2 linked regions of the Diceros bicornis minor genome follow. The protein of the gene in region 1 binds, or shares a complex with, the protein of each later gene. Links are inferred from orthologs where the notes say so. Each region holds a gene or a part of one and is shown on either strand. Other genes may lie near its edges.

Region 1 (7,485 bases):
TTAAAATACACTCGAAGCATTTTTTTTCAAGTTTTATTTTAATTGCATTTCAAACACGAGACACGGCATTCCACTCACAACGCATAACCCCTCCCTTTTTAAACCAAGCCCCTCCTACCGTGCTCTTTATAAAAGTGTAAATGATTGGCTTACCTCGGGCTCTTCCCTAGGAAAAAAATTTCATATTTTTTAAACATAGCCACGCCCACCCTCTTGGAACCAGCCCACTGTGGTTTTGGATCCAAATTTGCTTACAGCAGGTTAAGCGTTTTTTCCCCCTCCTCCTCCCATCCCCCCATCAGGTGAGCTGAATGTGTGCAAAAGACCAAATTTACGTGTGCGGCCCCGGACGCCCCAGATACCTGAGTGTCTGGTTTTTCAACCGTAAAGGCGGGAGGGTTTGGCGAACGAATGAGAAGTGAGGAAACGCTTAGCGCAAAGGGAAAAAAGAGAGAAAAGACATACAGAAAAAAGGTTATGGAGGCCAGCGGGAGGCGGCCCCCTCTCCTCCCAGCCAGTGGCCCAACTTGTTACCCAAGATATCCCACCACCTTCTCCTCCGCATTTTTCGCGCCGCCCGCTGCAGAGCGCCAGCGCACAGGTACCACCACAGTGTGCGAACACGGAAAGTTTTTGCCGGCACCATGGCGCAAAACACAAGACAGCCCATTCCCCGGTACAAGTACACAATCGGCGGGTAATTTGGGGATGCCGGGGAGATGGGAATTGGAGGACACTTGAGCATATCATGCACAGGCGGACACAATATGGACACCAACACACACCAACGACAAGCTATCTGAGTCCAAGCAGCCGTGCCAGGCGAGGCGGGGGCGCACCTTCCCCAACGACCCCAACCCACGGTGGCCCCAACCAGCCTAGCCAGGGAAACCCCAGGGCCCCTCCGCGGCAGTGCCAGGCTCACCTGAAGCCCCCGCCTTTCTTGCCGGCCCCCACCCCAGGACTCGGCGGCATCTTACGGTCGCTGGCGCTGGCTTGTCCAGCTGGAAACGACCCTCAGTGTTGTACGGCACCACTTTTCTCCCTAAAGGGCACATACTTCGACCACCCAAGCCCACCCGAGCCCCTCTCCCGCTCCCAGGGCAAAGTTAGGGCCCCTCGCTGGAACTTTCTAGCAGGCTTTTCCTGCTTTTGCCCAGACCTCCTCCTCCCGCTGCCAGGCCCCAAGCCCCACCGGGCAGCCCTGCCACCCCCTCCCGAGATCCCCGGGCGGCCCTGCTCCCCACGGGCAGAGTCCGCCGCATTACCTAGAAGCAGCAGGCGATGCGTACACATGTAACCCATCTTTTCGTCCTGGAGTTGCTTGTCGATGAGCTTGCTGCGTTTCTTCTCTGCGCGCTTCTGAGCACGCTTCTCCAGGGCTTCCTTGCGCATTTGTCTGCGCTTCTCCGCCAGAGGAACCTTCTTGACCTTGGGGCTGCGCGGGGCTTTGGGCTGGGGGCTCTCAGATCGGCCGAAGCAGCCCCCGAAGGCTTGCGAGAGGAAGTTGCGGAGCAAGTTGCGCTGGGGCTTTCGGCGGCGGCGATTTCGCCGGGGCTGTACACAACGGTGGCACCCGGAGGTCCCATCGTCGGATTCGTCTCCGCTGCTGCTGACCGACCCCTCGTCGTCGTCGCGGCCGCGCTCAGACCTGCCCCGCCAGGCAAACGCGCGAGTAGGCTGCGGAGTAGGCGGATCGGCAACCTGGATCTCGGGGCTGGGGGGTCTAAGGAAACGGAGCTTGGGTCGGGCTCCGGAGGCAGGGGCAGCAGCGGCTGCCCGAGCGGCAGGGGCTGTCCCGGCGGCAGGAGCGGCTGGGGCGGCAGGGACTGCCCTGGCGGCTGGAGCGGCAGGAGCGGCTGGGGCTGCCCCGGCGGCAGGAGCGGCAGAGACCGCGGGAGCGGCCCCAGCGGCAGGGGCTCCTTCCCCGGGAGAGGGGACTTTTCCTCCCTCCGCGGCAGCGGCGGCTGAGCCTCCTTCCATCTCTCCTGCTTCTCCCTCAACTGGGGGTCCCTCTCCCTCTGCTTGCTCTCTCTTAACTGGGGCTCGGGAGACCTCGATGGGCGGGTCGTCAAGCGCGATTGGGGGGCTGTCCATGTTGACGGGAGTGTCGTCGACCCCAACGGGGGCGCTGCCAATCTCGAGCGGGGGTCCGGAGATCTCCATCGGGGGGCTGTCGCCCACGAAGTGTGAAGGAGGTCTGACAGCCTCTCGGGATGGGCTGCCGAGGGCGCCTGGGACCCAGAGGGGGGGCTCGTTCGCGGCGGGAGCGAGGAGGACCGCACTCGGGACCGCGACTGCCGTGACCTGGCCGCCATCACCGCCGTCGACTTGTGGGATAGCTCGGGGGAGCCCAGGGGGTGGGCTCTCGTCCCCAAAGGCTGCTCCATCAAACTCAAATGGCATAGCCTCCTCAGGGGGAGGGCTGCAGCTTCCTCTGAAGCCCGAGTTTGGAGGTCTGAGGGCTGGGGGCTCCTCGGGAGAAGCGCCGAAGACCCCGGCACCTGGGCCTCCTGGAGCAAGGTCTGAGATCTGCAGGAGAGGTTGGCTGCAGCCTCCCTGGCCAGGCTGCTCAAACTCAAAGGGCATGGCTTCTTCAGGTGGAGGGCTGTAGCCTCCCAGGCCTGGGCTGGCATCACCGAAGGCTCCGGGCTCCAGGAGTGCTGGGCAGAAGGCCTCAAGGCCTGCATGGGCCCCAGGGGTGTCTCCAGGCTGCTCCAGGGTAGGCCAGAAGCTTCCCATGCTGGGCTGCTCAACCTCGAAGGGCATGGCTTCCTCAGGAGGTGGGCTGTAGCCTCCATGGGCTCCGACTTCCTCGATGGCTTGGCTGAGGCTCTGGAAGTTGGGCCTGGAGACCTCTGGGGGTCCACAGGCCTCACCTTCAATCTGGATGGGGATGGGCTCGCTGTGAGGCGGTTCGGTCTCCATCTCTTCGGCTGCGCCAGGCCCAGCACTGGGGGCAGCTGCCCCTGGGGCCTCCAAAGATGGTTGCTCGGGCTGTTCCCCGAGTTCAAGGGGGATATGGCGTTGTCCTGACATATTATTGCCGTCGAGGCAGTTGCGCACGCCCATAACACGGTGGCGGACTCTTAAAATAAACTTGGGGCCCCGTAAGACGGAGCACCCAACCAAACTAGGGTGAAAAAAATATTTTCAAAAAAAAAAAAATCAAAATACTAGAAAGTTCTCCGATTTCACTTTCCAAACCTCTGTGAGGTCTGGGGCATTCAGGGCCTCAAACCCTAGATGGTAGCAGAAGCAACTCTATATGTTGCTGGTAGAGTCTTGTCTCCTTCCTGGCCACTTTTTATCCCCTGAGGCTGCCCCCTGGCCCCCACTTGGCCTCCCCTGGTCCCCTCCTCTCTCTCTTTCTTTCTTTGCTCCAGGCCAGCCCCGCCTGCTTGGATCTGAGGAGCGTGCCGATTCGGTCCGAAAATCGTTCGTAGTGCTCTCTCTCTGCCACCAGGGGACGCCGGCCCTGGTGCCCAGGCGGCTCCCGGAGCCGGATCCTGGCGCCGGCAGCCCCGGACTTTGGGTAAGGGGGCTGATGAGCGCAGGCCTCGCAGGGACGTTTTGGCTCCTTCCACTCCTCTCCCTGACTGATTTGGAGTGTTTCTCCTCTCTTCTCCCCTGGCCAGCGAGAGAGCTCTCCTGCGTTGCTGGCCACGTGACGCAAGACGTGGGCCCCGGGCTGCTTGAGCGCAGGAGCTGAAACCCTCCCTCCCAGACCCAACTGACTCTTCTCGGGGGGAGGGGGGGACTGCAGGAGGGTTTCATTACCTCAGGATACCCCTGAACCCCTGAGCCGCAGCCCCCAGCCCTGGGCAGCCTCCGATCCTGAGCCCCAAGTCCGGAGCGCAAGGCTTTCGGCGACTGGGAAGGGGGTGAGGGCGCGGGACGGGGATGCGACAGGTGGTCGTGAGCCCACCAGTGGGGCGGACAGGAGGCGAGGGGCGAGGGGCTGCCAAATGTGCACACTCAATTTGTTTTTAAAACGCCTTGGGGTACTTTCCACTGATTCTGCAGCTTTTGTTTGCCGGCTTGCCGAGGCTGGCTCCTGTAAAGCACTTTGATGTCCCCATCCCCACCACACTCTAGGGGTCTCCGCAGTAGCCTAGGGTGGCGCAGGCAGGGTTCTCTTCCGTTTATGTGGACGATGATTCAGGAGAATAAGAGGGTCTCAGGCGCGTACCACGGAGACCCTCTAAGCGGTAGCCGCCGCGGTACCGAAGAGGGGTGGGGGGGGCGCGGGACGTCCACCAGGACCCCACGGAGGGGAGGCCTCAGAGTTCTGGGAGTCCCACTGTTGTCGGGAAGGGTTAAAGGGGATTTCAGTTGGGATTTATGGCTAGTTTAGGGTGGTCTGAGAAACTGGACAACTCTATGCGCACTGAACCCAAAGACACCGTGCCGCGCCGGCAGCCGCTTGCTGCTCCGAGCCTCGGCACCGGCTACAGGATCGGTCAGTCAGCATCTCTAGTTCCTCTCCAGCCCCACTCCATCCTCTGTCCTCTCGCTATGGGTCTCCCAGGGCAGCCACTTTACTTTTCCCCTGCTAGAGTCCGCTGAGGCGGCACGAAGCCCGGCCACAAACCCAGCGGTCTCCCGGCTGCTCTCCCGTCGCCGTAACGCGTGGTGGTCTCAGAGCCTGCCGGGGTAAATACCGCACCACCTGGGTGGGCTCGGGGCGTATGCGCGTACTGCTCTGGGTCTGGGGTCTGCGGAAGGATTTGAGTCCCGGGAAAAAATTGCTGTTTGCAGATCACGTAAAACCCGGGACATGGGCATCAGGTCTGTCTCACTAGCGGGTGACATGGACCTGCCAGCCACGTTTGGGTGCAAGGCAGCTAGGCAGGGAGGCAGGCGGTCGCCCCTCCTGCGGACAGGGGAAGGATGGTGGTATGGGTGTTACATCGGGTGGGCTGCGGCGAGCGGGGCACACCATCTGGATCGCTGTATCTACGAACCGCAGGCGGGCGAACCACGCACGGTCCAATCTCGTTAAGTCTAACGCATCCCTCTTAGAACGAGAGGACCACAGCCACAGCGCATCACTGCACCCGCATCCACCATCCACGTGGCCACGCTGCACGGTGGACAGCTGACAAAGTCAGACCCTAGGTAATGTTTGGGGCCCCCCAAAGGCGTATCATCTCAGCTTTATGTGTCTACACACTTCCACATGCCAACACTGAACTTTCGTTCAAACTTTGGCCAACTATCCCCACGGGCAATGGCTCAAACATTTGGGCATCCACTGAATGGGCCAAGTGGGTTGCAAGAGTCAACTTACCCCCCTCAGACCTCAGCGCTGGGTCAGCCATTGGGCTGGGGTCACGTCAATCAAGGCTGCCCGGCGAATGAGCAGGGGGCATCGCACCGGAAACCGGATACGAGTGGGAGGTCCAATAGGGGGCGCCGTGTTGGAACGCCCTAAGAGGTTGTGTTGCTGGCGTGGTTGGAAGCGGTTGGTGGGCGGGCGTATGGCGGCCAGGCCTGGGATGCTACGAGGCTGGCCGGCGCCGTCGGGTCACTCTTCCGGATGCCACAAGTCACAACGGCTAGAAGGGGAGGTCGGGGGGCTTGCAGGGGCCAACCCTTGGTCTCGCTGATGGCAGTGGGCAAACCCACTTAACAGAAGGGGCCGACACTGGGGCAAGGCCAGGAGGAAGAAGATTTCCAGGGCCTGGGGTAGAGGGCAAGGACCCTGAGGAGGGAGAGGGCTTACTGTCCCGATGCAGAGGAGCAGCCCCAGATGGATAAGGAGTGGAGGCCCCAGGGATGCTGAGCCCTGCGGAAGTGGAAGGTCAGTAGACGTTGGGGACGGAGCTCCGGAGGCTGCGATCGGGGCCCCAAAGGGACGCTTTGCTCTCGCCAGGCCTCGTGCTTGGCCCGCTTCACTTGGGCTCTGCCCCAAAGCACTGTTCATCTAGGAATAGGTAGAGGGTCTCTTTGTCCGACATCCTCCTGGGCCTGTGGGACCCGTGTTCAACATTCTTTCTGGTATCTTGGTTCTTTGCCGGGAGATGTCATGAATTGAGGGGATAGACTGGGCAGATACCAGTCCTCCATCCTAAAGGTGGAGCAGCATAAAAATGAAAGAAAAGACCTCCAACTGGGGGGGACTTGATGGAGAAAATGGCGTTTCAAATGGGCCTCCATGGAGGAATAGACGCCTTGGCTATGACTAGAAGGTGGGGGGATGGGAGACGTTGGCCTACCGCGAACAAAGATCTCATGGTGGGAAACATGGCACATGGCTGGGTAAAGAGCACAGGCTACCTTGTGGAGTCCTGGGGGAGTAGTGGGAGAGAAGGCAGGAAAAATGAGATAGGATCTCTCTGAGGATACCATGGAACATCAGGGCAAGCAGTTTTGAGGCTATTTTGGTAGGAAATGGAGCAGATGTTGAATGTTTTTTTGTCCTGCAAGTGAAGATTTGAGTCTAGTTTTAAGAAAAGTTGAGGCAGTGTAGAGGATGGTCGTGATGAAGAGAACAAAGGGGGCTGTGGCTGGTCATGACCTTTAAGGGAGAGAGAACCACACAGTGAAGGAAACAGGAAGGCTGAAGGAAGGGACTTGAGGGATCTTAAAGGACCCTCTAGCAACTTCTGTGCTAGAAAGGCACAAAAGGGGGAGGAGCCAAAATCTGGCACTTAGAGGAAGGGACACACGTGGGATTGGGGGGGTTGGCCCGGTTGTGGAGCCAGTTTGGTTTTAGACATGGCAGAGGCGAAGGAAGGATGGGCGATCTGAATGGAAATTTTTACAGCCTATTACTTAGGAGGATGGGTCTGAAGTTTAGAAGAAAGGTAAAGACCCTAAATTCAAAGTGACAGTCATCCATTTTAGGATATGAAATCACTAGATCAGATAATACCCTCAAGGGGAGAAATATATTTGGTGATAGAATCTTGACCATTTGGAGCACTGGAGGGGAAAACGGGAGAGATTAAGGAGAGAACAGTGGGGCTCAGAAGGGACTGGGAGGAGTATACCAGAGGGAAGAATTTAAGAATTGGTCAGCGTATCTACTCTAGACCATGGTTTCTTAGCCTCTGCATTGTTGACACTGGGGGCTGGGTAATTCTTTATTGTGGTGACGGTCCTGTGCGCTGTAGGATGCTTAACAGCATCCCTAGCGTCTACCCACTAGATGCCAGTAGCATCCCCTTAGTTGTAGCAACCAAAAATGTCTCTAGACTTTGCCAAATGTCCTCTGGGGGGCAAAATCGCCCCCGGTTGAAACCACTGTTATAGGCTGAGTAAGGACCCTCAGACTTGAATAGGAATCACTTTAATTTAAAGGTAAATTGGGACCAGAAAGCAAAAAATCCAGTGTTTAACTCTGATGCTCCCCTTTTGTCCACTCTTGTTTATTTTTCTGTAGTGACTGGCCAGCAGGATCTGAAAACCCCAAATCACTTGGGTGAGTGGGGTTCAGAGCTGAGATTGCGCTGCCAATCAGCAGTGTGACTCCAGAGA
Region 2 (7,586 bases), on another chromosome or scaffold:
AAGAGCCTCTCTCCTGCCCACAAGCCAGAAAACTGGCCCAAATCCATGCCCCTCAGAACCAACGCAAAGCATGAAGTTCAAGCCACAGGTGAAGGAGTGGGGTTAGCCACAACAGTGATAATCGTGGTAACGCCCAGCATTTGCTGAGTCCCTAGGAGAGCGCCAGCACTGTAAATAGGTCCGCACTGAGACTATTGAAAGGTTTTAGGCTATTTAAAGCTTGAGACTGCACTAAGACCTCTGGGACACAGATTATATCCAACACGAGACCTACTCCCACTTTACAGATGAGAAAGCGAGAGGCTCGCAGAGACTGGGCAGCCTGCAGGTAGCAGGGCCAGGATACAAAGCTGGACCTGTGTGACTTTAATAGTAACAATAATGACAACTAAAGTTTAAATTGCTCTTTCAGGGGCCGGCCTGGTGGCGCAGCGGGTAAGTGCGCGCACTCTGCGGCAGCGGCCTAGGGTTCACAGGTTCGGATCCCGGGCACGCACCGACGCACCACTTGTCAGGCCATTCTGTGGCGGCGTCCCACATAAAGTGGAGGAAGATGGGCACAGATGTTAGCCCAGGGCCAGTCTTCCTCAGCAAAAAAGAGGAGGATTGGCATGGATGTTAGCTCAGGGCGGATCTTCCTCACAAAAAAAAATAATAAAAAAATAAATGAATTGCTCTTTCATGTATCACATGGCACCATTTGAGTGCTTTATGCACATGAACACAATTAATTCTCTCGCCAACCCAGTGAGGAAGGTGCTATGGGGAAACTGAGGAACAGAGAGGTGTAGCAACTTGCCCAAGGCCACAGAGCTCCTAAGTGACAGCGCTGGGATTGGAGCCAGCTCGATCTCTTTGCTCTGCCTCCTCTTTGTTATGGAAAGGCCACACCAATTCCACCAGGCACTCCTTGATTGGAAAGGAAAGTGAGAACACGAACCCAGAATTCTGAGCCAGTCCAAGGGGAGGAAGTTCAGACACAAGTTCTTCCTACCCAGCTGAGGGCCAGGAGAGACCACGCCTAGCCCACGACTGCCCACACTCCTCTGGGCTACGGGGTCCTTGGCAGGCAGCTCCAGCCTCCACCCAGCTCTGAAATCACGGACAGGCAGTGCTCGCCTTGGAGAGATTCTCTGTCACACTGGAAAACTGTACCCAGCTTCCCTAGAGACTCTCCCTCCACCAGGGGAAATACCTCTCCAGACAGCCAGACAGCCTCAGGCAGCTTTGGGCTTGCGTGTGAGGGTCCAGCAAGCCCCGAATCATATTAGGGTATTTACACGGGATTGTCAAGGCTTCCTGTGAGTGCTAACCCACTCAGCAACAGGCCTCCCGCAGGACACTTATCAGAGAGAGAGGAGAGCCATGCAGGGGCATCCTGGAACCCTGCTGCCTGGAATCTCTCTATTCTTCACCTTTGCTGCTGCAAGCCACAAGCAGGAAGGACCCAAGGTCCCCTTGGCAGCTCGAGCTGAGCTGAAAATCTGGAAGGAATCAAGTAAGACCTATGTTCAAATCCCAACTCTGCCACAGACCAGCCAGGCAACCTCAGGCAAGTTACTTAACCTCTCTGAGCCTCAACACACTATCTTTCAATGAGGCTAGTAATAATAGTGCCCACCTTGTAAGGCTGCTGCGAGAACTAAAAGAGATAATGCATAAGGATACTCTGATTGGTCCACGCTTGCTCCCCGTCCCGGTCTCTGCTGGTTCCTGGCTGCCTCCAAGAGCCAAAACCGGGCATTCAAGCCCCTCCCCATCAGAGCCCCCACCCCCCCTGTCCTTCAAGCTCTGGAGACACACTCCACTGTGCTCCTGTCACAGGGGCCTACCCCCCCATCACGGAATGAGTTCCCCAAGCACCTAGGATCTTGCTCACACAGTACTCCCAGGGCTGTGCCCCTCCGGTTCTGGGTCTCAGGTGAGAGCCCCCTGCCGGAGGTCAGCGACCCTGCCTGGCGTATCTCTACACTACAGGCTTCCAGAGTGGACACCTCAGAGAGATTAAGGGATTCGGGTCGGATTTCTTCGGGGGGGGGGAGGAGGGGGGCGGGGAGCAAAGGGGTAATCGCAGAGAGAAAGTGGCTTCCGTGAAGAACTGCTGCGCTCCAGCTCCTGACTTCCTTGGCTCCTTCCAGAAGAATCCAGAGCAACTTCCAGAATGTGGTATCCTCTCACTTTTGCCCTGAAAGAGCAGCCCCGATGCGCTTCTGCCACTACAATCCACTCCCTGGCAGAAATGCCACTAGCTTTTCAAGGGCTCCTGGCGCGGTACAATGAGGAGGAGATGGTCGCCCCGCCTGGGCTTGCAGCCGTGCTGCAGGAGACCGCGGGCGGTGGCCTTGACGCTTCCCACCCCCCGACCCCTGGCGACGCCGAGCCTGCGGCTCGCCCGCGTGTGGTTACGCGGTTTCGGTCAGGCCGACTCAGCCTCAAAACCCTGGCTCTCCCCTTGACTCGCTGGTGCTCCTGGGCACAACTTTCCCTCTCTGAGTCTCAGTTTCCTCCTCTGTAAAACAGGTATAACACCTGGTTCACCGAGTTACAGGGAGAATAGAAAGAATGGATGCCCAGAGCCTGGCACAACGAATGCACTCAACAGATGGGCTGGGACTACGGTTAGCATCAAACTCGGAGCCTGAGCCAGCCCTGCGAAACTGGAGCCTCGCCCTCTCGGCGTCGGCGCCCGGAGGCAGCCGCTCGGGGCGTGCACCCCGGCGAAGCCACGTGAAGCCACAGGTGTCTGCGCGTCGGGGCGCTGGGGCCAGGACTGAATGTCAGGGAGGTGCCGGGGAGCCGCGCTACGGGGCCCTACCCCAGCCGCGCATGTCCCTGGGTCCCCCCGCGCGCCCTCCTCAAGCCAGCCGGCTCCGGGGGTCTCTGCCGCTGCTCAGGGACGCCCGCACCCACGCCCGGCCGGCGCGCAGCCTGGCCTCGCCGCCGCGGCCCCGCTGGGCGCCTGCCCGCGCCCTGCTCTGACTCACCCGCGCCCGAGCCGGCTCCCGGGAAAGTTTGGCGGCGCGGCGACCGCGGCGACCAGGCTGCTCCGTGCGCGGCGGCGGCGGCGGGGGCGGGGGCGCCGGGGGAGCGGACCTGGGAGGCGGGGCGCCGGAGGAGGAGCCGCGCCGGAGAGGGCCAGCCCGGGGAGGAAGGGGGGGAAGGCGGGCACCCGGGCCGGCGGGCCTGCAGCGCCCCCGCACCGGGCTCGCGCTCCTAGGGCCGCCCTCACGCCGGGAGGGGGCGCTTCTGGCGCGGACACCCTCTCCCGCGTCCCGCGCCGGGGTCGGAGCGGCTCCCGCCCGGCAACCCAGCCTCCGGCTCTGCGCAGGGGCTCTCTGCGGCTCCCGGGGTTTGGAGAGAGAGGTGAAAGAAGGGTCAGAACCTTGGCGAGAACCGCCCCACGTCCCCCTCCCCGCCACACACACATACACCTGAGGGCAGACAGACGAATAGACAAGTCAGGACAGAGAAGCAGAGAGAGAAATAGTCAGAGACGAGACAATGTCAACCACAGACCCACTGAGAGACAAAGACATGTAGTGATACCCCACCTCCCCTTATCCCTGCTAGAGAGCCGGAAATAGACAAAGACAGACGGACAAAGCCAGGCAGACAGATAGGGACCCTATCCCTAGAGGTTTCGTGGGGAACTAGAGAGACCCCCCAAGGTCAAGAACTCCACACCCCTCGTCAGTTTCTCCCTACGCCCTCCAGATGAGCTCAAGTTTGACAACTGATGTGTTTCAGTTAGCATGCTGTGACTGACTGAGCGGAAAGTTGGGCAGTGTTGCGAGAGTGAGGGTGGGGATGTGGGTCTTCTGCAAGTCCCCGGGAGCCGCTGCCCCCTGACTCTGGGAGCCTGAGAATTCTTACTGGCTGCCTTAGTTTCTGGAGCTGGGGGAGAGAGGTAGAGTGTTCTCTCTCTCCTCAGTGCCAGGAAAACTCCACTTGAAGCTCTAAACAATTATGGTTTCAGATCTTATCTCAGCATTTCAAAAGAGACACCCAAGCTCAGAGGGAGAGGAAGGTGTTTGAGAGGAAGGGACTTGGGGGGAGGATGGCTGGAGTGTGGGTTTGGGGATATTTCATGGGGGTGTCTTAGCCTCCTCTGAGTAGAGGGCACTTCCACTCAGTGGCTGTGGGATCCTGTGGAGCTAATTTGAGGTCCATCTTCACCACCTGTGTGTGGTAAGTGAGTGATCCCTCTTTCTGGCCTCAGGGTCCACATCTGTAAAACGAGCGTTCATAAAAACAGCTGTCATTGTGCCATGTACTCTTCTAAGTGCTACAGGTGCTTACTCATTTAATCCTGATAACACCCTGAATAAGTAGGAACTATTATTATCCCTAGTTTACAGAGGAGGAAATGGGGGTACAGAGAGGTTAAGTAACTTACTCAAGGTCACACAGGAGGACTGGGAATCCACCCTATGCAGCCTGGCTACAAAGTTCAAAGACATAGTAGTGTTCTGTAATCTTCTTCTCACTGGGGCCGCTGGAAAGTTCCATGAGATCATTTATGTAAAGGTCTTAGCAAGTGCTCCATAAATGGTAGCATAGACCACTGAGCCTGTCTGCAAGGTGGAGATTAAAGGGCTGATGGTGATGCCCAGAGATAGGAGACTGCGGACTCAGGATAGCTGACATAATAGAAACATGGCCATGTTTCTATCCTAGGTGCCAGCTCTGACCTTAATGAGTCAGAGAGGCAAGGGATTCCCCCTTTGTTTCCCTGACCAGCCCCCTGTATGTTAGCATAACTCCACAACCAGGACTCACTCTGAGTCCACAGTCCACTCCCTCCCATTCCTTGGTGATTCTCCAGGGCCTCCATCTTCTACACCTTACCAGACCGTACACTCCTTGGTACTGAGTTAGCACTCAGGGGAGTAACTGTTATAAACTCTGAAGGAAATGGGTTTCCACTCTCTACAGCTGTAGGGCTGACAGGAGTGAGGGGGAACAACCCTCAGAAATGTCTAGGTCCACATCCATCCCCTCTCTCTCTCCTTTCTGCAATTCAGCAAAGGCTTGATTATTTGAAATTCCAAAGTTTCACTTTCTGGGCTGTTTTTAGGCCTGCTAAGCCCATAGTGATCAGCATTTTTAGAAACATCAGCATTTTGGAAACAGTATGTCAGACATTATTTGAAGCCCTGGTGACCAGGGTGTGCTGTTTTGTTGTGGCATTTGGAACTGATGTATCATGAGATAACTCAGACCATATCCTGAGTGTGTGGGGTGAAGAGGGGGTAGCCAGCTTACTAACGATATACATGCAGCAGAAGAAAAATAATAGCTAGCCGTCATGTCACACCTCTTGTGTGCCAGGCCTGTTCTAAGAGCGTTATGTAATCTAATTCATCTACTCCTCACAAAAATTCCATGAGGCAGGAACTGTTATCCTATTTTGCGGATGAGAAAACCGAGGACCAGAGAGGTGAAGAGCCTTGTTCAGAGTATACAGGCAGTGTGTCATTCCAAGATCAGACAGATAGGAAGCAGCTGAACCAAGTCTGGAAATTGGGTCAGTCTGGCTCCATGAGCCTGTTCCTACTTCTGTGATTTGTGGAAGAAAGTCAGAAAAGGAGAACCACTTGAGCCACTGAGTAGAGATTAGAGGTACAGATTAAGAAGAAGTAGATTAAAAATATCTGCTCTGCCACTTGTTAGCTCTGTGCTTACTTTGCTTCTCTGAGCCTCAGTTTCCTCATCTGTAAACTGAGAATAATAATGCCTATGTCACGTCCAGGATTTTAATGACAATTCTTTTGACTGCAGTCAATGTAAACCTGATTATAACCAGCTTCAGCCAAAAAGGGCTTTGAACTGAAAAATTTAGGAGGTAGTTCTAAATTCGGGCACAGTCCATGCCAGAATCTCAAGGGAAGTTGTCATAAATCTGTCTCCCTTTGTGTCTTGTCTGTTTTCTTTTCTGTCAGTTTTGTTAGCAGGCTGGGTCTCTCCACATGGAGGCAGAAATGGCCAATTAAGGGACCTCAAGTCCAAGCGATTACTTCCTTCCCAAAACTTCCAGCAAAAATCCCAGCCCCAGCTCCCACTGCCTGGCCTGGGTCACATGCCCAACCCTGAAGCCATCCTGGTTGCTCTGATTGGCGAAGCCTGAGTCACATGCCCCCACCAAGAGTCAGGGGGTGAGGTCAGCCCCTCCTAAGTCACAGGGACTAGGAGTGGGTGAAGGATGGTTCTTTAAAAGGAAATCAGGGTGCTTTTAGCAGAATAATGGGCACTGGGGCTGGACAGGCACAGATGTCTGCTTCCTCACAGAACTGCTGTTGGGATTAAATCCGCTCGTGTGTGCAAAGTGTTTGGCTCTGGTGGGTGCTCAGGAACTGAGTCCCTTCCCTTCTTTCCTCTCCTCTGGGAAACAGAATTCACCAAATTCAGGCCAATTGCTTCCTTGTTCACATGGGGAAACTAAGAAGGTCCAGAGAGGGGAAGGGACTTGCCTAAGGTGACCCACCTAACCAGCCACAGAACCCAGCTGATCAGTCATAGAACCCATATCTCCTGGCCTGAAACAAATTCCTGTTAAAGTCTTAGCTGAGAACTTTTAGATCCCCTACTAACCAAGGGAGTTATCTTTGCATTTACAAAGGGAGGACTAGAAAATTGCAAAACCCAGAGGAAATGAATGCCACTTATGTTGGGCTCCCAGACTGGTCAACAAGCTATCGACTGGTAGATGTGGGCAGAGTGCCAAGCCCCGCTCCCTACCTGTGGTATTATGAACGCAGCCGTTTCCTCTGGGGACTCTGCACTCTGGGTGCCAAGAGATCCAAGTAGTCATTTTGCTTTTTTTTTTTTAATTTTATTTATTTATTTTTTCCCCCCAAAGCCCCGGTAGATAGTTGTATGTCATAGCTGCACATCCTTCCAGTTGCTGTATGTGGGACGCGGCCCCAGCATGGCCGGAGAAGCGGTGCGCTCCCGGGATCCGAACCCGGGCTGCCAGCAGCGGAGCGCGTGCGCTTAACCGCTAAGCCACGGGGCCGGCCCTAAGTAGTCATTTTTCATTTAGCTGCCCAAAGAAGGCAAGATGGCCCTTCCTTCGTCTTAATTCCTGCTCAGTGTGTGAGAGCAGAAGTGCATCCTTCAGGGCCAAAGTGGGCCACGTAGCACGCGCGTTATTTAGAGTTATAAAAATGGACCCTTCCAGCTTGCCCTGACTCAATTCCAAAGCTGCTGGCCTTGGACAGCTAGTCTGACTTTCCAGTCTAAATTTAGTTAGACTGGCATGCTCTAGAGCTGCTTCGTTTAAAGGAATGTGAGCAAGAAAGGCAGACATTAAGCTGGAATGACAAGACCCAGTCCCTCCATCCCCCTAAGGTAAAGCATGTAGATTTGCTGTGCAGGGTGTGGGAGGAAGTGTCAATTTCCCTCCGGCCTTCCGGGAGGGCAATTTGCAGCCAGATGTTGAGAACTTTAAAAATGCTCAGTTTCTTATTCCATACTCCAAGAATTTTTCCTGAGAAAATAATCATGGATATCACCAAGATATGCATGAAAATGTTCATTGCAGGATTGCGTATCATCGTAAAAGACTGAAAATAATCCAAATGTCT

The links. The genes of interacting proteins can lie anywhere in the genome.
Region 2: the proteins of GNAS (region 1) and HRH1 are in contact, whole or in part, in a cryo-EM structure (PDB 9LRB), measured with the Homo sapiens proteins. The link is inferred for Diceros bicornis minor from reciprocal best matches to the Homo sapiens genes GNAS and HRH1. Residues at the interface, in NP_000507.1 of Homo sapiens: Gln35, Arg38, Ala39, His41, Lys216, Val217, Asn218, Phe376, Cys379, Arg380, Asp381, Ile383, Gln384, Arg385, His387, Leu388, Gln390, Tyr391, Glu392, Leu393, Leu394; in NP_000852.1 of Homo sapiens: Asp124, Arg125, Ser128, Val129, Gln130, Pro132, Leu133, Arg134, Leu136, Lys137, Arg139, Thr140, Ile213, Ala216, Val217, Gln219, His220, Cys221, His223, Lys412, Ala413, Gln416, Leu417, Cys471, Asn472.

What each region holds. Positions count from the first base shown.
Region 1 is NC_080758.1:4,818,163-4,825,647, forward strand, and holds the start of GNAS (guanine nucleotide-binding protein G(s) subunit alpha isoforms XLas), read right to left. Parts: upstream 3,088-7,485; 5' UTR 3,073-3,087; coding exon 1,269-3,072; intron 1-1,268. UniProt on the Homo sapiens protein: Guanine nucleotide-binding proteins (G proteins) function as transducers in numerous signaling pathways controlled by G protein-coupled receptors (GPCRs).
Region 2 is NC_080741.1:83,884,606-83,892,191, reverse strand, and holds the start of HRH1 (histamine H1 receptor), read right to left. Parts: upstream 3,062-7,586; 5' UTR 2,985-3,061; intron 2,740-2,984; exon of another isoform or gene 2,521-2,739; intron 2,167-2,520; exon of another isoform or gene 2,135-2,166; intron 1-2,134. UniProt on the Homo sapiens protein: G-protein-coupled receptor for histamine, a biogenic amine that functions as an immune modulator and a neurotransmitter.